6 linked regions of the Sus scrofa genome follow. The protein of the gene in region 1 interacts with the protein of each later gene in a pairwise test. Links are inferred from orthologs where the notes say so. Each region holds a gene or a part of one and is shown on either strand. Other genes may lie near its edges. The genes, in order: MAL2, NDRG4, SH3GL1, PTPN9, TPD52 and ARFIP2.

Region 1 (3,500 bases):
AAATAGAAGGAAAAAAGAGGATACAGATATATGTAGTAAAACCAGGAGTGATACTTGGAAAAATATTTTGGAGTTCCCATCGTGGCTCAGCAGTTAGCGAACCCGACTAGCATCCATGAGGACTCGGGTTCCATCCCTGGCCTTGCTCAGTGGGTTAAGAATCCGGTGTTATCATAAGCTGTGGTTTAGGTCACAGATGAGGCTTGGATCCCACCTTGCTGTGGCTCTGGTGTAGACTGGCAGCTACAGCTCCAGTTGGACCCTGAGCCTGGGAACCTCCATATGGCATGAGTGCAGCCCTAAAAAAAAAACAAACAAAAAAAAGAAGAATATTTAAACATTGGTAATGGGTATACATCAACCAGTTAGAAAGAATACTGAGGATGGCAGGATCCTGGAGACTTGTTACTTTTACAGACATGAATGCCTTAGTTCCTGAGCTATAGGAGGTCCAGGAAATTCTCCAAGAAAGGGCCAGGGGAAGGGGGAGCAGAGGACTTAGAAAGAGGCAGTAGGCTGGGGCCATGGCTATGTAGTAACTACTGGCAAAGTATCAGAGGGCTGTGCTACTGGTACATATGGGCCAAATACCATCTTCAAGCCTGAAAGGAAAAGAACCTGGTGGCACTTACCAACATCAGGGATTGACTGATTCATTCATGCATTATTATCAGAAAGCCAGGCATTTAGAAAGAGATAAAGCAACTATGTGTAACTTAAACAGGGATCTTTGACCTTTGTCACTTGACCAATTATTAGAAATATTTTCTCCTTGCTAATGAGAAATCGAGGCCAAAATGTAGACATACATTGCATCAGCAGCCTAAGAAACAGAAGAACTTTCAAAGTGTGAAACTGCAAGTCTCAGTGTGTTTAAAGAGCTATGATGATTACTGATCACTTCCTTGAAATCAGACACAAGCCGAGCATCTCTACAAAACATGAATCCCGTTATTCCTTAATAGCATCTGGTGAGGTTGGTATCATTACTACCATTTTACAGAGGAGGAAATGAGGTTTAACATTTTGCCCAAGGCTACAGGGTTATTAAGCAAACCAGATTAACCCCAAGGCCTGTGGATGGTTGTAACCAGTGCACTATGCTTCCTCCTTGGCTGTACTCTCACCCACGCCACCTGCTGTGGGCTGATGGATGGGCAGCCACGCTCTAGACTTCACTGCTGATACCCTTTGGGATGATGGTTCTCCTTACGCTCTATAAGTCAGTCAAGAACACATACCTTCCTCCATGTTGAATAAAATGCTACCACACTTGAAAGGAACATCCATAAAGTTGGAATAAAGGTCTGATTTAAGTTTCTAACCACCTAATGGCAGTTCTTCATGAACTCCATTAAAGCGCTTTCCACCACGGATTGGAATTCATGCTCCATAGGGCCAGTGAATAACCACACGCGTGAAAGAGGCTCCCTATATTATATGGGAAAAAGGGAAAATACATTGATCCAATGTAATGGTGTCATAGTTTGAAAAATGGTGTTGATTGCAAATTTATTCTTAAAACGTATCAATTCTTGCTAATCTAGAACAGGCACTGAAAGATAAAATATCCCCTCTCCTTTTCTAAGGATTTGGAGGGTAGAATATGGAGCTGCTTGTTTTCTGAAAAGAATATATGTATTTTATATCTGAAGCTGGAATCGATGGAAAATGTTAAGATACATCACAGCATCCATCTCCCAAAGGCATGCGTTCGATAGTTCAATAACTGTAATGAGATTCGTTTGTTGTATGAAATAAAACAGTCTTTGCAGAAAGGTCATCTAACTCATAAAGGAGTAACAGAGAGATTGCTCAGCTCTGTCAGCACAGGCATTTTACAGTCTGGGACCCTGCTGTCCAGCAAGGCCGGCCACATGTCAGCACTGTGGTCGGTCCCCGGGGCCTGACCTTTCCACTCGCACTAGAGGCAACAGAAAGAATAGGGGACAGCTTTCCTCTCCCACTAGAGGCAACAGACAGAACAGGGGACATTCTGTCTGGCTTTTCAGGACAGAATGAGATATGCATAGGGAGTTCCCTTCATGGCTCAATGGTTAACAAACCCAACTAGGATCCTTGAGGATGCAGGTTTGATCCCTAGTCTTGCTCAGTGGGTTAAGGATCCGGCGTTGCCGTGAGCTGTGGTATGGGTCGCAGACATGGCTTGAATCCCCAGTTACTGTGGCTGTGGCGTAGGCTGTCAGCTAAAGCTCCAATTCGACCCCTAGCTTGGGAACTTCCATATGATGCAGGTGTGGCCCCTAAAAAAGCCAAAAAAAAAAAAAAAAAAAAAGGAATGAGATATGTATAAGTTTCTCCCATTTTCCTGAAAGACATTTAAAAATCCCTTACCAGGAAGTTCCAGTTGGCATTAATCTGAGTCACCACGCCAGAGAGGAACACGCCCAGGAAGAGGAGGGAGCAGACAAAAGCTGTCACAGACACGAACATGACCCATCCTTGCAACAGAGGTAGAGGAACATTGGAGGAGGCGACTAGGATCCACACGAGTCCCCCCAACACCTAAAGGAAAAGAGAAAGACAGTAATCAGTCTGGGCCACAGAACTGAACATGCTTGGGTGCTGCCTTGGCTTCTCCCGGACCCCTGCATGTGTTCCCGCAAGCTGGCCAGAGACCTTTCTCCATCACCACTCGAGATGCCTTCTCGCAGGTGCGAGCCAGCGCTTCTGCTCTTGGGCCTGATCTGACTCTACACCTAGTTCTACGCCTGCTTTTCCGTGGGACTCGCCCTCCACCCATGACAGGTCCAGCACTCTCTCACCGTCCAACACAATTTTCTTTTGAAAATCTCCACTGCCCTCTCTAAGGATGTTTTTTTTTCAGCCCACCATTTTTACAAATCCATCTCTGCTTGCTCTCCACCTCCTCCCCTCGCTGGTACGCTTCAACCCACTGTCCACTGGCTTCTGCTTTCACCACTCCTCAGAAAGGCTCTTAGCAAAGATTAGCCATGACGTTCTAACCTGTCACTTCTAGTGAGCATGTTTCCGTCCTTACTATGACCTATTTGTACAGGTGAGATGATTGCCCATATACAGAATAGCTGTAGCCACTGTACATGATCAGAAACAATACAAATCTTCCACCATTTGCTGATACTCTTCTGTGTGTTGGGCACAGGCGTGGGCCCTTCAGATAGTCACAGATATAACATTCCCTAAATACCTACGGTGCCAGGTGCTAGGAAGGAAATGGTAAACAATGGCCTTGGCCATCACAGAAGTCACAGTCTCTTATAGGAAAGAGAAAATGAACCAAGGGACAAAACCGCTGCTTCACACACATCACAAATGGGCAAATACTGGGCCCTGCAAGTCCACGCGGTGAGGGCTCTAAATCCAGATTTGAAAAGTCTGAAAATACTCCCTAGAAGCAACAACCCAAAGGACAGGGCTGGGGGAGGAGCAGAGGCAGAGAAGGCTGGTCCAGGGCATGGGGTCAGTCTTGAGAAGATGCGGACGGGCAGCGCTAAGAG
Region 2 (4,194 bases), on another chromosome or scaffold:
TCTGTCACCACTGGCCTCTCCTCATCATCTCCTTTACAAAGGAGGACATTGAGAGGCAAGATTCCCCAAAGTGAGCCCCAGAGTTGTAAGGAGAACCCAAGCTTGCTGCCTCCAAGCAGGAATGTGCAACCCATCCCCACCCACCAAATTTTACCAGCTTCCTAAACATTAGTTAATTCAAGGTCATGGCAGCTTCCAGGGAAACCTGGGGCTGAGGAAAATCTGGGTCCTCACCCCAAACCAGCCCAGGTAAAAGTCCAGTGAAGGGGGAAGAGACAAGAGCCTCTTGACTGCTCAGCCCACTGGCCATGCGGGACGGCCCAGATGTCCTGGTCGGACGCAGTCACTCAGCACAGGAAAGGCTGGAATCAGGAGTGGCAGAACCCCGCCTAAGGTCAGTGGCAGGGCCTGAAGACAGCCTCGGTGTCCAGCAGCCCTCCTCTTGAGCTGTCTTTGCCCAAGTAAAATTTTTCGGGTCCTCACATTTCCGTTCTCCCCACTAAGATTCCAGCCAGGCGCTCTCACACTTTTCGGGTGACAGCAACAGCACTGGGCCGGATGGGAGTGAGCCCGAGGACGATGCGGGTCCCTAGTTCCCTTTCCTGCTCGCTCCGATAACGGAGGGTGAATGGAGGGGAGCAGGGACCTCGCCACATTTCGGGGGAGGGGGTACCCAGAACACCTTTGGGCGGAGTCACTCCTGCATGAGCTCGCCAAGGAAACTCTTGGGCTCTAAAAATGGGAGACATGCTGCCTGAGCACCTGGCGCTTCCTGACCTCCCCCCCCACCCCGGAGCATTTCCCCAGGGGTTCCCAGCTGGCACCAGGGGCAGAGGAGGAGGAGAGTGCAGTCTCCTTCGGGCTGAGGTTCCCCTCGGGAATCTAAACAAAGACTGAGACAGAGGGCCACCCCCTCCCTCGAGAGCCCGACGACGCGCGCGGCTACCGGGGACTGGCGGGGCGGGCGGCGCCTCCCACCGCACCCGACACCCTCCGAGCGGCTGGGACCCTTCTCCCGACGCCTCCACCAGGTGAGGAGCGGGTTGATCGGCCCGGGGTCTCGGCTAGGCTTCGGAGCCGCCGCTTCCCGCTCGCCTGCCCACCCACTGGGCACTCCACCCGCGGCGGGAGGGAGGCGGAGGCTGAGCGCCCAGGCCCGCCTCCCGGGTCCAGCCCCCAGGCCGGGCCCAGCGCCCACGTCCCCGGCGCCCACGTGGGCACGCCCCCCGCGGCGCACCACCCCCGGCCCGGCCTCCGCCCCCGGCAGTGGAGGCTCTGTGGAGGGGCCCCGGGCTGCCTGCACCTGCACGCGAGCGTTGGCGGCTGCGGCGCCGAGGCCCCGCTCCCCGCCTGCGCGTCTGACTTGCTCGCATCACCCTCGGTGAGTTGGAGGCGCCCCTGGGCCCATCTTCCCCTGATCCCACAGCCACTGCGGCCCGCGGCCAGCTCCCCACCCCCGCGCAGCCCCTGCCCACGACCTAGACCCACGGGCCTGCCGCCTTGTCCCTGGGCCACGCTTCACCTACGAGGGCGGTACCCCCTCCCCACCCCACTCCACCCCGCCCGAGCTCATCCTCCTCGCTTTCCCGGTCAGACTCGAGGACCCCAAGGACCACGGCCTCGCTACCGCCTCCCAAACCGCGACATCGGGGATGGCCTGGCCTCTTTGTTCGGGCGGAGGGCCCAGGTGCCCCCTCCTCCGCCTTGTGAAGTGTCACCCGCACCCACCCCCGCGCTCCTTCCGCCTCCCAGAGTTCACCCCGACCAGGTGGCGGCGGGCGCCTTTTAGGGGTGCGCGGTGGTGCAATTGGTGGATTTTTTTAAACCGGTTTGGAGGGGGGAGCGCGGCGTAGGGGGCGGCGAGAGCGCTCTCGGCTCCCGGCTGCTCCTCCTGCTGCGCTCCTCGCTCCTGCTGCCCCCCTCGCCTCCGGCGCTCCTCTCCCCAGCTCGGCCGAGCGCACTCCCCAGACGCCGTAGCCCCGAGCCGGGCAGCGCCGGGCGCCGCCGAGATGAAGGTGCTAGGACACAAGATCGAGCTGCTGACAGGTACCGCCGGCCCTTCCCCGCCGGCGCCCCTTGGCGCGGCCCTCGCCACCCGCTACTTTTGGAGTTGTAGCTGGAGCAGGGTGCGGAGCGAGGTTTTGAGGGGGTTCAGGTTCGAGCAAGAGGAGGGTTTTTGCGAATACCAGCTAATTCCTAGCTTCTGCGCTGCAGGTTCCCGAGCGGAGCCCAGCCTGGGAGAGGACTTGGGCGGTGCCTTGCCCGGCTTTGCTCTCTGAGTCCCGGTGTCCTGGTGGTAGAGCAATTGGGAGGCAGAGCGAGGGTCAAGGGAGGAGCCCCTGGGGTCTCCGACTAGCCAAGCTCTATTCAAGTCCCAGAAAGGGGAAAGGAATCTTAGAGCGCCTGCCCTTCAATCAATGTGGCTTGGTGCCCCCCAAGAAAGGAGCTCCCTGGACTCCCAACAGGACCTCTGCTGTGCACCTCTCATTTCCTGCTCCCTGTGACAATCCGAGCGCCTCTCCGAGGAGAAGTTACTTCCTGGGAGTAGAGGCCAAGGAGCCAGGAGAGTTGCAAGCCAGATTGGTCCCTGATGACTGGGGACCTTCAGCCTTTGGACTCCTCTGAAGTGGCCAGACATCCTGCTGGAAACCATATCCAGGATGCTGTGCTGCAGGGTCCTGGGTCTGCCCAGACACGAGGCAGGACAGAGGACAAGGGGTCTGGAGAGTGGAGATGCTCTCCCAGGCGGGAAGGGCGGATGGTACAGGTGGCCTCTGTGGTCCCCCCCCCTCCCCGCCCCGGGAAGAGGCGTAGACAGACCTAGACAGGAGGATGGGAGCTAGGAAAGGGAAACAGTCGGGAAGTCGAGATCCCACTGGGTCCTGGGCTGTGGAGGTGCTCGATCGGTGTGTGCTGGATGGACACGTGGATTCTGGTAACTGTGCACCGGGGCAGTTTGGTCCCTGACCTGGAGCACATTCCCACCTGGTACAAGGGAACAGGGCCCAGGAACCCTGTTTCAAGACAGGAAAGGGGACGGCAGTGTGGGGATGCACCCAGGAAGCAGGTCGGAGTCTGAGTGGGGGAACAGAAGGGGAGCAAATAGATGTGAGCACACGGCAGCTTCTGAACTGGACCCTAAAAGACAGAATTTCTATTAATGGAGAGGGAGGTGGCATTACAGGTGAAGGACCGGCACATGCAGAGGCTCTGGGACGTGAGAGAGGCTTGGACTGGGAGTGATGTGGTGTGAGGCAAGCAGAGGCTGGAGGGGCTGGACTCTGTGTGATGGGGTGGGGGGTGGGGTGAAGTTTCTGGCTGTGAGTTAAAGTAACAGCGGCCACCCCTGGGCTCAGGCCAGGCTCTCAGAGACGGGAAGGTGGGCGGTGTTCCTGGAGCATTGGAAACACTGGCCAGGTGCTCAGAAGTGCCAGATCTGAGCCCAGTTAGCCACGGGGCCGGCATGGCCTCCAATCCTTTCCCTATAGAGCTCACTTGAGGCTCACTTGACTGCAAAGACCACACGACTGAGGGGTGGCTGAACTTGCTGATCTCCCGGAGGGAAAGTTTTCGCCACCCAGGGGTTTTTAGAGCCCTGCATGCAGGATGGAGCTCCTGGATGCTTCCCCTTCTCCTCTCCCAACCCAGAAGGGCCTGGAGGAGGGGTGTTCGTGGGAGACACGTGCAGGGGGGGGGGGAGGTGCTCCAGTGGGGTCCACTGTACCCTCATATTCTGGGCACAGGAGTTAAGGCCCCTCCTCCCTCATCAGACAGGCTCCTCCTGTTCTGGCGACTCTCTAAGCCCCTGGCCAGGCTGCAGCAGGACTCTCTCAGTCACTGTCGTTCGTCTCAGGCTCCTACTGTGCATCCCCTCAGGGGTCTTTGCAGCCTTCCCCGCTTTCTCCAGCTGGTTCCCATCCTCTTCCTCGTCCCTTGGATCTGGGTTCAAATCCCAGCCTTGCTACTGTCGGCTGTGTGATTTCACAGAGGTGGCCTAACCTCTCTGATGTCAGCTTTCTCATCTTAGAGATGGAACTGTTGACCCCTCCCTCCGAGAGCTGGCGTGAGGCTCACCGAGATGACATAAGTGACACACTCAGATGGGGCCTGGCCTTGGTGGTTGCCTCTTGGGCCACACCTCCCCTCAGATTCCTTGGTCATGGCTGTCCCTAGGATGGAGGGAGGACTCCACCT
Region 3 (3,500 bases), on another chromosome or scaffold:
GTTCTGCTTGACCTCTATGTCCAGGGAGTCCTTCACCTCAGCCAGGCGCTTCATGGACTCCCCGGCGTCCAGCAGGGCATCACCTGGGGGAGGAAGCTGTCACAGGAGGCCTTGGCCCCTAGGGTTGAGATACCCCATGCCAAGGACCTGGACGCCAGAATTGAGAACAAGGGACCCTGAAATCTGACACAGAGCCACAGGGGCTGGTGATGATGGGTGTTCACAAGCTACCTTCCCACCTCTTCAAAGGCACCCAGGTCTGCCCTGACCCAGCTGTGGTGGGAGGGTGGCCTCCCCACAGCCATGATACTGTAGGCAGCACCTGTTGTGGACCAGAGGGGCTTTCTCAGGAGCTTCACCGCCCTCGTCCAGAGGACTAGCCAGCCCTGGAGAAGACCTTGGAGCTATGGGGGAAGGGCCAGCCTGCCCGCTGCGCAGAGATGCTGTTGCCCCATGTTCTCAGGCCCTCCCCACTCCAGCCTTCCCTCGGCCTCACCGAAGTTGGACTCGCCACCCAGCTCCTTCCCGTGGCGGATCATGCACTCGCCCAGCAGGCCTTCTGACTGCGGGTAGCCGGGGTTCTTCACCTGCCCACGGATCTTGGACACCGTGTTGAGCATCGTCAGCTTGGCCCGAGAGGCTGGAAGAGGACGGACCGGGTGGGTGTGCAGGTGGTCTCTTGAGCCACCAGGCCTGTGCTTGCCAGTACCACCAGCTACCCACCTCTGCCTGGGTATTTATTTCTAAAGCACTCCCTTGGGCTGAGGAACAGGAATATGAGAAGAACCCCTGAACAGACTTCCCCTCCTCTGCTCTCACGTGCACAAAGGAGCACTGGCAGTGGTCAGGAGAGGTGACTGGCTCCTTGAGGCCCCCAGAGAAGCAGGGCAGGTAGGTGTAGGTGCAGACAGGTACAGGTGGCCCCAGCACAGGTCTCTGCCCAGAGGGGGGTAGGGGTGTGTGTGCTGTGCCTGAGCCTCTGCTAGCTCCAGTCTGTCCCGGCACAGGCCTCAGGGGACACTGCTGCCTTTGCTGCTGTCCTGCATCTGTCACCTTTCACTGCAAACCAGAATTTGGATTTTCCTTGGGGAGAAGGCCCCACCTCATGCTCCAAAGGTAGGCATGTGGCTGGGGCCTGATACTTGATTCAAATTGGGTTAGGTGGGGGTAAAAAGATACTCTTTCTACTGGGACCATTAGCTGTAAGGACAGTTTAAGGCTAGGACTGTTGTGAGAAATGAGAGCTGACAGATGACACAGAAGGGAAAGGCAGGGCCCTGAGGACATCCTTTGGATGCCTGGATCCAGCCATGCCTGAACCTGCCTATCCCTGGGCATCTCAATTCTGTGGGCCCATACATTCCTTCTTCATGTTCTGGTGACTGGAAGATTCCCGACAGAGAGCTCAAAGAGTTGGGGTCAGACCCCTCACAGCAGGCTGGCCCCTACCTGGGTTGGGCTGCAGGTACTCGATGGTTCTGGCCAACACTTCTGTCACAGCCTTGCTGGTAACATCCACCTTCTGTAGAGAGAGGCCATGTGTGGGGTTTTGAAACTGCCGGGGCACCCGAGGCCAAACCAGGAGCCCCTGGACAGCTCTTGCCCTGCTTAGAGCCCACACAAGAACTGCCCGCTGCTTCTGGGGGCTCCCTGGCCTCCGTGTTGTTGGCCATGCTATGCCCTCACCACTGCCTGCCCAGGACTAGGGGAGCCCTGTGACCCGCCTAGACCCTCCTGGTGAGCCTGGCCTCCCGCCAGCTGTCAGGGGCAGGCCCTATGGGGGTTGGTAACACTGCCAGGCATGAGACGGGCACCACCTCTCCCATTACCTTCTCCATCTCCTTGAAGTCATCGTCAAGCTTGGTCCCTTCAGCCCCTCCGACCTTCTCGCTGACCAGCTGGGGGACAAAGGAGGAAAAGTGTGTGAGCCTCAGGGGAGGAGACTCCAGGATGCCTTCCTGCCCTGTCCACTGAAGGGAAGCAGGGCAGGGGCTCAGGACATCTACCATGGCTTCCCAGGGAGACTGAATGTGGCAGCCAATGGCAAAATGAGGGGCTGAACGATACCCACCCCCCCCAAATCTGCATGCTCCTGGAAACCCAGGGCAGGGGGCTCTTCCTGCTGGAAGCCGTCCCTGGCCGAGCTACCTTGTTATGCCGCAATGGCGGCTCCACAATGTTCCCCAGTCTCTGGGTTGTGCAGACCTGCCTGGGCCCAACCATGGCCCAGTGATGTCCTCTCACAGGGCTGAGGCACCCATGCTCACAGAAGCCCTTTCATTCAGGGAACCGTGACCCTGAAGTCCTGCCTCTCTGGGAAGGAATCTCGGACTGTGGGTCTGCATTCCCCAGGGGCGCCCCGAGAGGCAAGCAGGTTCCGAGGCTGAACAAACATGCAGACTGCGTGTGGGACAAGCGCTGAGCAAGAGGGAAAGACCTGCCCGACAGAAGCCAACTACTGTGGTGCCTGGAAGTGACTTTTCATGCATGTGTGTGAGCATGTGTGTGAACCCATGCACATGAAACTTCCTGGCAGCCACCTGTGAGGACAGCTCCCGGGGCTAAGGGCACCAAGGGGCCCACCAGCTGACAGGAGTGTCGGACCACTATCGTTCAACAACTGGTCCACTGCCTTCTATCTGTGTGGTCTTGGGCAATCAGCCTCGCTGGGCCTCAGTTTTTGCTTCTATAAAGTGGAGTGACAGGTGTGCACTCGTAGGGCTGTGGCCAGGCTTCGTGGGCGCTGCATGCGCATGTGTGCTCAGGGTACTCCCCCTGCCCACACCCATGACTGCTGTTATTCTCCCTGGGCATCTTGGTCCTCCAAGTGGAGCACAGAACTGCAGGGCAGGCCTGGCCTACAGGTCTTTGTCACCCCGAACCTGCATGTCCCTGTGAGTCAAGTGTTCTCACAATGGCTACGTGTCAGGAGCCTAGGAGGGGATGGGGTGGGGGGCACAGATGAGAGATGAGACCCTGCGGTGGGGGCACAGGAAGGAAGCAGGGCTGGCTCAGGGCCCACTCAGTCATGCCCCAGCCTTTGAGGGACCTCCAAGGTAGGCAGGGGCTGCCCTCCTGGTTCTGACTTTATAAGGAAAGACACTGGTCTCTCCTAGGTGTTTTTAGGGCGTTCCACTTTATTTCATGGCATGGTTTCACTTCTTTTGATTATGGTAAAACAGGACGTTCTCAGCTTCGGTGGTTGCCACAGAGGGAAATGAGTTAGCTGCCTGACGTGAGACTAGACTCTTCTGGTGAACTCAAAGGGCAGCCGAGGCGCCAGGGCTCAAAAACCACACCTTCCGGGCCGAGGGCCTGCTCAGTGCAGGGAGCACAGGTGCTCCCAGGGAGCAGCCCCTGCTGGCAGGCACCATGTCCCCTGAGGGGCAAGGGCACAGGCAGACCCCATAGCCTCTTCCAGCCCCCCAGGAGTGTCACCTTTCTGCCTCCCCTGGGAGCCCTGACAGCTCCACAGGCATCTATGTGCAGGGCCGCCCTCA
Region 4 (3,500 bases), on another chromosome or scaffold:
GCTCAGGAAAAAAAAAAAAGTTTTTGTTTGAAAGTGCAGCACTGTGCTGACAGTAAAAATCATAGAGATTTAACATGATCAGGGAATTATAATCACAGAAAAAGGGTAAGGAAATACTCATTTCTTATCAAAATTTCCTTCAAGATCTTCTTTCAGATCTTCAGGAAGACTTGATAATCTTTAGGGTATCTCTTACTAGTTAGCTAAAATTACTGAACTCTTTCTCAGTCATTAAATGGGTCCAGATCAAATAATTCAAAGCCCACGCTTTTAAACATGGGAATTCCAGCACACTCATTTATAATTCTGAGGTATCCCCCATCTGTTCCTCCATAACATCATTACTTTTAAAGGTAAATCAGCTTTTTTTTTTTTTTTTTTAACTTTTAGGGCCGCTCCTGCGGTATATAGAGGTTCCCGGGCTAGGGGTGGAATCAGAACTACAGCTGCAAGCCTATACCACAGGCACAGCAATGCCAGATCTGTAACCCACTGAGCAAGGCCAGGATCAAACCTGCAACCTCATGGATCCTAGTCGGATTCGTTTCTGCTGTGCCACGACGGGAAGTCCAAAGGTGAATCAGCTTTTAATTTCTCTCAGAAAACTTTTTCTCTGGCTACTGAAGTGAAACTTGAATTAGGCTGTAGACTCCCTCTTCTGGTTAAGAATGGGAAGAAGAGCAGAAAACCTAAACTTTGGACTTGGAACAGTCACAGGTCCCACTAAGCACTGTTGCAGGGCCCTGGTTGGTATCTTTAAATCCTTGTATGTATTCTCCGCAGGGAGCTTTTCCAGCTCGTTTGAAGAAAGTGCTGATTGTGGGGGCACCCATTTGGTTCCGAGTGCCCTACTCCATCATCAGCCTCCTTCTGAAGGACAAAGTCCGGGAGAGGGTAAGGCAAGCTGACTTTTATTTTATTTGGAGGTGGGATAGATACATTACCATCTATAGTGCTGATACTTGCCAATTAATATTCCGCCTTCAAAAAACCTTCCTGGCTTGTTTCCTAGAATGCTTTTTGCTTCTGTTAGTCCATTCACTTATATTCTCTGTTTTATTCTTTACTCAGTTCAGTACAGGTTGCAAGTTCCTTGAAGTTAGGACCTAAACTTAATTTGGGTACTTCCCCTCTATAGCACCTTGCATGCAGATAGTACTGATGGAACCTGTCTCCAGGGTAACTTAGAGATAGCAACTTCTTTCAAAATTTAGTCTCGGGCTCTACAGGTGTTTAATATTTAACAATTTCTAATACAATTGCATTAGTCGAACTGGTGTTTGAATTTGTTCAGCTGGAAATATCATTCCAGGGTAGTGGAGGAGAGTCTCAGACTATATCTATTCCTGGCATTTTCTCTTAAAACAACTTGTAGCTTCTTAAAACTTCAAAAGTGTTCTCTAAAGTTATCTTAATGCCATTATCATTCCTTGAGTATTCCAGGACTGAAAGATTGTGGTTTCAATCACTTATTCACTCATTTCTTACCCTTAAAGGGCATATGAAACATTGATATAATGAAATAAGGTAATAACACTGTTGGGTTTTTTAGTGTGAGATTAGGTGATTATATGAGTAATAACCTATCTTTCATATCTTTGTAGCTGAGACCACCTAGGTTGGAGAGGGGAAACTAAAGCCATTTGGTTTTGTGGAAGCTTCTTAGGGACCTATTGACCCCAAGTAGAAGAGGTCTTTCCTAAGACAACTCTTTGAGAGGACTGCTTAGACAGGTTCTTACATTTGAATTATATACAAGTATTGGAGTTCCTGTTGTGGTGCTGTGGAAACAAATCCGACTAGGAACCATGAGGTTGAGAGTTCAATCCCTGGCCTCACTCAGTGGGTTAAGGATCCGGCGTTGCCGTGAGCTGTGGTGTATGTCACAGACACAGCTCAGCTCTGGTGTTGCTGTGGCTGTGGTGTAGGCCCGCAGCTGTAGCTTCAATTAGACCCCTAGCCTGGGAACTTCCATATACCATGGGTGTGGCCCTAAAAAGACAAAAAAAAAAAAAAAAAAAAAAAAAAAAAAGGAAGGTAAAAAGAAAAATGAATTATATACAAGTATCCATGCATGTGTAAACTCAAACTACATTGAGCACTTTTACAGTCCAGGCTCTGGGCTCTGGAAATTAATAGTTGAGTGAAATGGTCCTTACTCTTGAGGAACTCATGGTCCTGAAAGGGAACACAGACATATGCAGAGTACTGTGGTTCTGCAGGAACATAGAGAAGAATGTTGCCTTGGACAGTTAGTGGGGGCTTCAGAGAAGGGGTAAACTATAAACTGAGCTTGGAAGAGACCAAAGAGGTAAAGTGGACATTTGAGGAAGAGGCAACAGCAAGCGAGGGAAACATTCCTATTCCACATGAGAACCAACTAGGCTTGTTTTGTCCAATATGACTGTGTCTAAGCAGAGGGTGAAATTAGGTATTACAGTTACTTCTTCAGCATTTTTCCTGGGTTACACTGCCTCTTGGTGGCTGGCCTTGTCTTGCTTTCATAGAAACCTATCTCTGAGGGGAGTTCCCATTGTGGCGCAGTGGTTAACGAATCTGACTAGGAACCATGAGGTTGCGGGTTCGGTCCCTGCCCTTGCTCAGTGGGTTGTTAACGATCCAGCGTTGCCGTGAGCTGTGGTGTAGGTTGCAGACACGGCTCGGATCCCGGGTTGCTGTGGCTCTGGTGTAGGCTGGTGGTTACAGCTCCGATTCGACCCCTAGCCTGGGAACCTCCATATGCCACGGGAGTGGCCCAAGAAATAGCAAAAAGACAAAAAAAATAAATTAAAAAAAAAAAAAAAAAAGAAACCCATCTCTGAGAACATCCATACCTAGCTGTGAGTAAAGCACAAACTAACAGTCTTAGAATTGGTTGCCTTAGTATGGAGTTGACAAAAATAACCACTTCCTTTGCATCATTAGTTGTCAAAAAGGCAAGTAATGGAGTTCCCGCTGTGGCACAGCCCGTTAAGAATTGGCATCGTCTCTGTGGTGGTGCGGGTTCAATCCTGGCCTGGCGTAGTGGGTTTAAGGATCTGGTATTGCTTGCTCCTGCAGCTTGGATTTGATCCCTGGCTGTGGAACTTCCACATTTTGCAAGTACAGCCAAAAAAGGAAAGAAAACAAAGAGGTGGTTACCTGTGTGAGAGTACTGGAAAGTCTTATAAACAGTATAAAGGCTTTGTTCACTATACCTACCTACCTTTATATAAGGTATATAACAGGGACCCTAATTCCAGGAATGAATTTACTAATGCATTCTGGGAAGTCAAACCTTTTCTGAGAAATTCATAGGACTTCAGTCCCAAACAGATGAAATGCAGCAGTCTGCTTCTTTTACAAATATACCAGGTGTTGCAAGCAAATCTTATTTCATTCTCCAAAGCACTTTTGTTCTTCATCTTGACTATCTGTATGTTCCCCTCCCTCCCCACATACTCACATGGTTTTTCCTGGCCTTCCAGATTCAGATTTTAAAGACGTCTGAGGTCACCCAG
Region 5 (3,500 bases), about 37 Mb from region 1:
GTTCCTCCCAGGTAGAAGAAGAAATCCAGACCCTGTCTCAAGTGTTAGCAGCAAAAGAGAAGCATCTAGCGGAGATCAAGCGAAAACTTGGGATCAATTCACTACAGGAACTAAAACAGAACCTTGCCAAAGGGTGGCAGGATGTGACGGCCACATCAGCGTAGGTTCCCTTGATCCTACATTTTTCTAGGGAGGGGACAGAAAGGGAATGAGGACATTTCTGCAGCTTTTTTCTGTCCTGTGCAGGGCACTTCGCCCCAGTTCTCAAGTGTACCTGACTCTTCTTTAAGTGTGGTCTTTCCAGCTGTTCTAGGGAATAGAAAAAAAAAAAAAATAGCTTTACATGTGAGTTGAAGATATAAAATCTGAGTTCTGAAAATGTTATATATTGACTTGCTAGATATATACATGTATCACTTAGTCCTCAGAATAACCTGATAGAGAGGATGGTGAGGTAGCCATAGATAATGAAACAGAATCAGGAAGGTTTTTTTTTTCTTCAACGGCCGCACCCATGGCTTATGGAAGTTGCCGGGCCAGGGATTGAATCGGAGCTGCAGCTGCAGGCTTACACCACAGCCACAGCCACACCAGACCTGAGCAAAATTAGCAACCTACACCAGAGCTTGTGGCAATGCTGGATCCTTAATCCACGGAGTGAGGCCAGGGAAGAAACCTGCATGCTCACAGAGACAATGTTGGGTCCTTAACCTATGAGCCACAATGAAAACTCCCAGGATCAGATATGTTTTGAGGTTACAAACCTTTCAGTGTGTGGAGGTAGGATTTGAACTCATCTCTGGCCAAGTACAGAGCCAGTCTTTTTTACCCTGCTCTGAACATGGCTTAGGACTCCCAAGTCTATGATGTGTGATAGTGGCAGAGGTCCACCCCATAATCTTTTGGTCTTTTTCATCACACAGTTTTTTGTTTGTTTCTTTGTTTTTGCTTTTTAGGGATGCACCCTCCACATATGAAGGTTCCCAGACTAGGGGTCGAATTGGAGCTGTAGCTGCTGGCCTACAACACAGCCACAGCCACAACAACACCGGATCTGAGCCATGTCACCATGTCAGCAACCTATACTAGAGCTCATGGCAATGCCGGATCCTTAACCCACTGAGCGAGGCCAGATCCATACTTAACGCATTGAGTAAGGCCAGGGATTGAACCCGCAACCGGAACCCATAACCTCATGGTTCCTAGTCGGATTTGTTTCTACTGCTCCACAACAAGAACTCCCCTCATCGCACAGTTTGGATATGGTATTATCATGATGCAGTTTTGTTTCTAGGCACAAGGAAGAGCAGGCTTCTAGTAACAACCTCTGACTGTTCAGTCCCATCTTCTGAGCTGGTGACCAGCAGCAGGGGTTGACTGCATCCTGACATGACAGCACCAGGGTGCCCAACCTCTTTGGTCCACTTTCTCCTTATATAAGTAGGCAGTAGGGAGATATATATATAGGACAGTGTTCTTTGTATCATCACAAACTGGAATTTTTAAAGTATTGGATCTTGATGGGTGGAGTTCCTGTTGCGGAGCAGCAGAAACGAATCCGACTAGGAAACATGAGGTTTCGGGTTCGATCCCTGGCCTCCCTCACTGGGTTAAGGATCCAGCATTGCTGTGAGCTGTGGTGTAGGTCGTGGATACAGCTTGGATCTGGTGTTGATGTGGCTGTGGTGTAGGCCAGCAGCTGTAGTTCCAATTCGACCCCTAGCCTGGGAACCTCCATATGTTGCAGGTGCAGCCCTCAAAAGACCAAAGACAAAAAATAAACAAACAAAAAAACCAAAAAAAAAAGATCTTGATGGGTAAGTAAAAATGCCTGAGCATCCCTTTATATAAAGTGGGGACCTTAACCTCTTGGGTGTCATGTAAGTACCATATTCTTTTGTTTGTTCTAGATTTTTCCCTTCACCAATCCCTGCAATGATGGCTTGAAGAGGGAAGTGGTAAATTATACCTTTGTGTTATAGCCCATATCCCACTTGAATTATTTGGAGTATTCTATCTTTTACATCTTCTGTTGATAATCCACCAATTATTTGGTAGCTCCGCAGATAGGCAAAATTGAAAAAAAAAATCTTCATGCCCCGAGAACTTATTTGCATAATAAAAAGTACACATGGGGAGTTCCCTGGTGGCTCAGTGGCTTAAGGATCTGGTGTTATTACTGCTGTGGCTCTGGTTACAGCTGTGGCACCAGTTTGATCCCTGGGCGGGGAACTGCCACTGGATGAAACAAAAAACAACAACAAAAAAAAGTATGCATGGGCCCTACTTTGCTTCTGGCCCCTTTTTAGGAGATGAAGTTGGGAAAGGCATGTGAGGAATTTGATTTCAGTTTTGTTTTGTTTGGCTCCAGTGGAAAAGGAAAAAAGTAAGAGGTGTAATTTCATTCAGACTCTGGCTCATTTTGATCTTTGCTCCATGAGTATTTTTAGCCCTTCCCCTGATTTCTTTGGCCCTGTCTTTATAGACCTCTGTCCTTCTGGCTTTCCTGGGGCACTGCAGAAGATTGTGTCTGAGGTGATGGTTAGATGGAAGATGATGTGATGATGCTTACCTGGTGGTTGTGAAGAAGATTTCTAAAAATCCAAGAGGTGGTGATTACTGAACTCTAAATAATTGCTATTAGAAAGGTTATTAGCTTACTTTTCTTTGCTCTTTTCTTTTCTAATTTAATATAGATACAAGAAGACATCTGAAACTTTATCTCAGGCTGGACAGAAAGCTTCAGCTGCTTTTTCGTCTGTTGGATCAGTCATCACCAAAAAGCTGGAAGACGTCAAGTATGTCCCCATTTTTCCTTGCTTATGTAAACTGAGGCAAATGAAAATCAGTTATCATGGTTGAGGTGGGTTCCTGCCTGGTTCTGCCTGATGCTGGACCCTCTTTCAAACCAGGACCTGAGGGAGTTCCTGTCGTGGCTCAGTGGAAGCAAATTTGATTAGTATCCACAAGGTTGTGGGTTCGATCCCTGGCCTTGCTCAGTGGGTTATGGATCCGGCGTTGCAATGAGCTGTGGTGTAGGTTGCAGACTTGCTCAGATCTGGCGTGGCTGTGGCTGTGGTGTAGGCCAGCAGCTACAGCTCTGATTTGACCTCTAGCAGACAAAAAACAAACAAAGAAAAAAACAGGACCTGAAATATTTCCTTAAATTCTAACGGGCCTAGTCTTCAAACTGATTGTCCTCTGAATGCATTTAAGGATGTTGAAAAATTCTGGTTGTGAACTTTTGTCCTTTTAGCCCTTGTTGATCACAGGGTAAGTATGTCTCTCAGGGTTGCAGACTTGTGATTGTGGGCTGAGCTTGGGGTCTGATGGGGGTGAGTCTGGGAGCCCTGAGCGCACGCTTGGACTGAGTCCTGCCTTTGCTTCTGGTGGCACATCTTTATCTCACCATGTGCTTCCAACATGCTCATTTGTGTACTGATTCGTACCATCTATGTTCATGCCAAGGCCCAAATCGTGATTTTTGAGCTGTTGTTGCT
Region 6 (3,943 bases), on another chromosome or scaffold:
CCCACCCTGGAGGGGTTCTCCCTCTGGGCTGCAGGAGGGAGGGAGGAGGGAGGCTGAGGGGTGACTGCCTGGGAGGGCCCCGGGCCCAGGCCCCCCTCCCCCTCTGGCCTGCCCAAGGCACCTGAAGCTCTGGGGACTTCTGGCTGAGGTCAGCAAAGGCATCCCCCAGTGCATGCTGGGTCTGCAGCAGGCTGTAGAGGTGGGCTGTCAGGGCCCGGCCCAGCTGCAGGACACTCTCATACTTGCGCTTCGTCTCACGCAGCAGCTCAATTTGCAGCTCTAGCTCCAGGTCCACAGTCCGGGAGCCTCGGCCAAACCGCTCTGATAACAGCTGCTTTGTGCACTGAGTGGGAAGTGGGGGAACAGGTCAGAGACCCTGGCGCCCGGCCCTGCCCCGCAGCAAGTGTCTACCCCGGCGTCCCCAGACTCCAAGTCTCAGCCCGAGATGATGGGACAGGAGGATCCGCAAGATGGGGAAGAGGTACCCGGGGGAGCTCAGGGGGCGGAGGAGGTGCGTGAATCCCACCTTATACGTGTTGATGCCCCATTTCTTGACGATGTCGAACTTCTCTCCAGCGATGCCCCGGGCCACCTCATCCCCGGGGCCAGCAGGAGGGGCGCTGTGAGATGGATGGCGGCCAGACCCTAAAGGACCAAGTTCTCTGACACCAGCCTCTCTCAGACACAATCCGACGCCTCTGTGGTTCCACCCACACTTCCCTCCCAGCACATGAAAATGACGCCCCGGAAGGAGCAGGGCTGGAGACTCACTAGGAGGAATTCATGCCTTGGACCCTGAGACCCAATCCCAACATACACCTGGCCTCCTTTTGACGTGGAGGTGAGGACTGGAAAGGGAGGTGGGAGGGGTTGCTCGTGTGCAGGGGCAGAGGAAACAGCGGAGACTAGGCTGAGAATGGGGTCGCTGACCATGGCTGGGCGCCCCTCGAACCGAACACCTGGCTGACATTCCCATGTGGATCCCAGTCACTGCGAGATTCAGGGCTGCTTGTTCCTCTAAATAGCAGAGTCTAACGTAAGACTCTGATAAGCCTCTCAAAGCTCCAAATCAGATTCAAGCTCCAGAGCAGGGGAGGCCTGGTGAACAGAGTTCTCTGCCTGACTCAGGTAGTGACGGCAGAGAAGGGACAAGTGGGCATATCTGAGGGACAAAGTGGCAAGTGGAGGCAGATGGACACCCCTGGGAACGGGCCTTGGGCTGAGATGCCCGCGGGTTCATCCTGGCAGAGGTTCCCACGAGCTCCAGACATGATTCACGCCTTCTTAGACGTATCCTATGCCCCCTGGAGCCAGTCCTCTTCCCCTCTCCACTCAATGCCCTATCCTGCTCTGATCATTCATACCTGTGGGGATGAGTCCATCACCAGAGCCCCCATAGCCACCAGACACAATGCTGGTTTCATTGAGGTTGGGTCCTGACACCATCACCTGCTGGAGGTCCTATAGGCCAGAGAAGAGGGGGGCTTCAGGAACATATGGGCAGCTGAAGCATTTTGGGGGTGAAAACAAGCTTGGATTGAAGCATCATAGAGAGAGCACACAAGGGAAGTCTGCACAGAATCAGAACAAAGATTGGTAAAAAGACTGAAGGAAATCAGGTGAGTTGGGGGAAGGCTACTGGAAGAAGGAGAGAGCTCAGGGTTTAAGAGTTGGGATTCCTCAACTGAAACAATGTGAAGAATCAAACAGAAGCACCTGCTCCAGCCCATCATCCTCAGGAAGCTGCCCCGCGTCACCATTCCCGTGGATGGGGATCTCCATTGTGGCTGCCTTCCCTAGGATCCCGTCCGTCATGGCGAGCGAAGGGACTGGAGTCAAAGTCTCCACCCCAGCGCCCTGCAAAGCCCAACACAGACAGTTCTGGAAACGGGCCAGTTCTCCGAAGAGGAAGGTCTCCCCTGCCCTTGCAGAGGCCGTCCCGGGGCTTCAGTGTGGTGGGGTCTGCCCACCACTCTTCCCTCGGGGCTTTGTCTTTCTCCCTTCCAAGGTGCAAAGTTTTACACACAGGCACCCAGGCCTCAGGTGTGCCTGACCAGAGGTCATGTTCTCATGACCCCCCCACCCCCACCCCCCCAGCAGTCCAGGGATCATTCATGCATTCAGTCCTTCCACAGACATTTAATGAGTGCCTACTACATGCCACGCACTATTTGAGGCAATGGAGAGAAAGCCTGTGCTCTCAAGCAGCTTATCCCCACGCAGGTATTCCTCCTCATCAGGAGACAATCCCTTTCCCAGCGCTCAGGTGCCTATCCCCGTTCAGGTATGTTCGCCATTGTTTGGCCTTTCACACTCCTCTAATGTCTCCTCCTCTTTCCTGCAGGTGGTCTCCCCCTCCTCCATCCCATGCACCCCCTCTTCCTGCCCCCACCCCCGCCCCAGGCCTTAGTTGAATCAGTTGGTGTAAGTTCCCGACCCCGGGGAAAAGTCCCTTTGCCCCAGGACATAGGGAGGTGATCCCTTCCAAAGTCAGTTAGGTCTCCCCAGGTGTGTGAGTCTCCGCCCTCCCCCCATACACCTGGGCGTCAGGTGTGTCCTCATCCTTTCCCAGGGCTCAGAAGCATCTTGCCCTCAGGTCAGGTTCGTGCGTTCACCTTGCCCTCGCCCATGCACGTCCCTCTCACCTCGGGCCGGGCCGCTCTTCCCCTCAGGGCGCCAGGCCCGGGCCGCGCGGGGATCTCGGGATCCAGTTCCCGTCGCGATCCTAGCAGCAGGTCAGGGACTCGGCGGAAGTGACGTCCTCTCCCGGGCAGAAGAAGCCGGCCACGTAGCCGATTATGAGGGCGGAAGTGACGTCGCGGGGAGGTGGGCGGGCGCTCCTTGAGCCAACCCCTCTGCCCCTGGGGAGCCATTGAGGTCACTTCCGGGGCGTTCCCTAGAAGCTGTAACGGAAGTGACGTAGGTTGTGCGCCGGCGGCGTGATGGAACAGCAACAGCAGCAGCAGCAGCAGCTGAGAAACGTGAGTGGGAGCTAAGTCGCTTAAGGGCCCTGCATCCAGCTAGCATCCCTGTTCGCATGGCGGAAACCCCAGAGAGCCAGGCATCCAAGGGCTGGGAACCACGGGCCGTGGTACACGGTCCTGGGAAAGCGCCGGCAGCGCGGCCTTGAGTTGAGACGTGGCCCCCTCTTCGCTGAGTTCCTTGTCCCCCTTCCTCCCCAGTTGCGGGACTTCCTGTTGGTCTACAATCGGATGACGGAACTCTGCTTCCAGCGCTGCGTGCCCAGCCTGCATCACCGAGCTCTGGATGCCGAGGAGGTTAGGTGGGGGAACTGAGTAGGGAAGTGCTCCTCGAGCCTCAGAGCTAACCGTGCACTGCTTCCCTCTCCCGTCAATTCCCCTACGTCCGGCCCTGGCTTCCCACGACCTCCGCCCTGAGGCTGGGGATGGGAAGGAGGGAAACGGACCTGACTGGACACCTTTGGCTTCTACTTCCACCCTGTCTTCCTTCCAGGAGGCCTGTCTGCACAGCTGTGCCGGGAAGCTGATCCATTCCAACCACCGCCTCATGGCCGCTTACGTGCAGCTCATGCCTGCCCTGGTACAGCGCCGCATCGCTGACTACGAGGCTGCCTCAGCTGTGCCAGGTGTTGCTGCTGAACAGCCAGAAGCCTCGCCATCTGGCAGCTAGCTGTCCTCAACGCTGAGAAGGGAGGCACTGGATGGACCCTCACGTTGAAGGAGCAGTGGACCTTGGGCAAGATGGAGCCTGTATGTAGAGAATGAGGAGTTGCCTGAGAGCTAGGTACTGTTGCTCCTTTTCCTGGAGCTAATAAACCTGCTGTAATCTGTGCGGTTGATATTCTGGGCAGGGAGAAGTTGCCTTCTGTGTGTGGAAGGAAAACCTCAGCATTCCCAGGCACCTGGTTAAAGGAAGGTCTGTGGGTACAGCTTTAAAATTGGCAACAAGACGCTGGTTCGTG

What was found.
Region 2: the proteins of MAL2 (region 1) and NDRG4 interact in binary tests that used the Homo sapiens proteins (3 or more experiments, as listed by UniProt). The two-hybrid records come from large-scale screens. The link is inferred for Sus scrofa from reciprocal best matches to the Homo sapiens genes MAL2 and NDRG4.
Region 3: the proteins of MAL2 (region 1) and SH3GL1 interact in binary tests that used the Homo sapiens proteins (3 or more experiments, as listed by UniProt). The two-hybrid records come from large-scale screens. The link is inferred for Sus scrofa from reciprocal best matches to the Homo sapiens genes MAL2 and SH3GL1.
Region 4: the proteins of MAL2 (region 1) and PTPN9 interact in binary tests that used the Homo sapiens proteins (3 or more experiments, as listed by UniProt). The two-hybrid records come from large-scale screens. The link is inferred for Sus scrofa from reciprocal best matches to the Homo sapiens genes MAL2 and PTPN9.
Region 5: the proteins of MAL2 (region 1) and TPD52 interact in a two-hybrid assay, tested with the Homo sapiens proteins (2 studies listed by BioGRID and IntAct). The link is inferred for Sus scrofa from reciprocal best matches to the Homo sapiens genes MAL2 and TPD52.
Region 6: the proteins of MAL2 (region 1) and ARFIP2 interact in binary tests that used the Homo sapiens proteins (3 or more experiments, as listed by UniProt). The two-hybrid records come from large-scale screens. The link is inferred for Sus scrofa from reciprocal best matches to the Homo sapiens genes MAL2 and ARFIP2.

What each region holds. Positions count from the first base shown.
Region 1 is NC_010446.5:19,600,672-19,604,171, forward strand, and holds part of MAL2 (protein MAL2), read right to left. Parts: intron 2,527-3,500; coding exon 2,356-2,526; intron 1-2,355. UniProt on the Homo sapiens protein: Member of the machinery of polarized transport. Required for the indirect transcytotic route at the step of the egress of the transcytosing cargo from perinuclear endosomes in order for it to travel to the apical surface via a raft-dependent pathway.
Region 2 is NC_010448.4:20,222,039-20,226,232, forward strand, and holds the start of NDRG4 (protein NDRG4), read left to right. Parts: upstream 1-1,394; 5' UTR 1,395-2,009; coding exon 2,010-2,046; intron 2,047-4,194. UniProt on the Homo sapiens protein: Contributes to the maintenance of intracerebral BDNF levels within the normal range, which is necessary for the preservation of spatial learning and the resistance to neuronal cell death caused by ischemic stress.
Region 3 is NC_010444.4:74,438,458-74,441,957, reverse strand, and holds part of SH3GL1 (endophilin-A2), read right to left. Parts: intron 1,899-3,500; coding exon 1,830-1,898; intron 1,523-1,829; coding exon 1,450-1,522; intron 641-1,449; coding exon 497-640; intron 84-496; coding exon 1-83. UniProt on the Homo sapiens protein: Implicated in endocytosis. May recruit other proteins to membranes with high curvature.
Region 4 is NC_010449.5:58,137,176-58,140,675, forward strand, and holds part of PTPN9 (tyrosine-protein phosphatase non-receptor type 9), read left to right. Parts: intron 1-783; coding exon 784-894; intron 895-3,467; coding exon 3,468-3,500. UniProt on the Homo sapiens protein: Protein-tyrosine phosphatase that could participate in the transfer of hydrophobic ligands or in functions of the Golgi apparatus.
Region 5 is NC_010446.5:56,581,113-56,584,612, forward strand, and holds part of TPD52 (tumor protein D52), read left to right. Parts: intron 1-11; coding exon 12-160; intron 161-2,696; coding exon 2,697-2,798; exon of another isoform or gene 2,799-3,500.
Region 6 is NC_010451.4:3,248,868-3,252,810, reverse strand, and holds the start of ARFIP2 (arfaptin-2), read right to left. Parts: upstream 2,801-3,943; 5' UTR 2,646-2,800; intron 1,858-2,645; 5' UTR 1,816-1,857; coding exon 1,717-1,815; intron 1,462-1,716; coding exon 1,365-1,461; intron 646-1,364; coding exon 527-645; intron 344-526; coding exon 122-343; intron 1-121. Other genes in the region: TIMM10B (mitochondrial import inner membrane translocase subunit Tim10 B), read left to right, coding at 2,943-2,981, 3,183-3,278, 3,475-3,651. UniProt on the Homo sapiens protein: Plays a role in constitutive metalloproteinase (MMP) secretion from the trans Golgi network. May have important functions during vesicle biogenesis at certain cargo subdomains, which could be predominantly utilized by secreted MMPs, such as MMP7 and MMP2.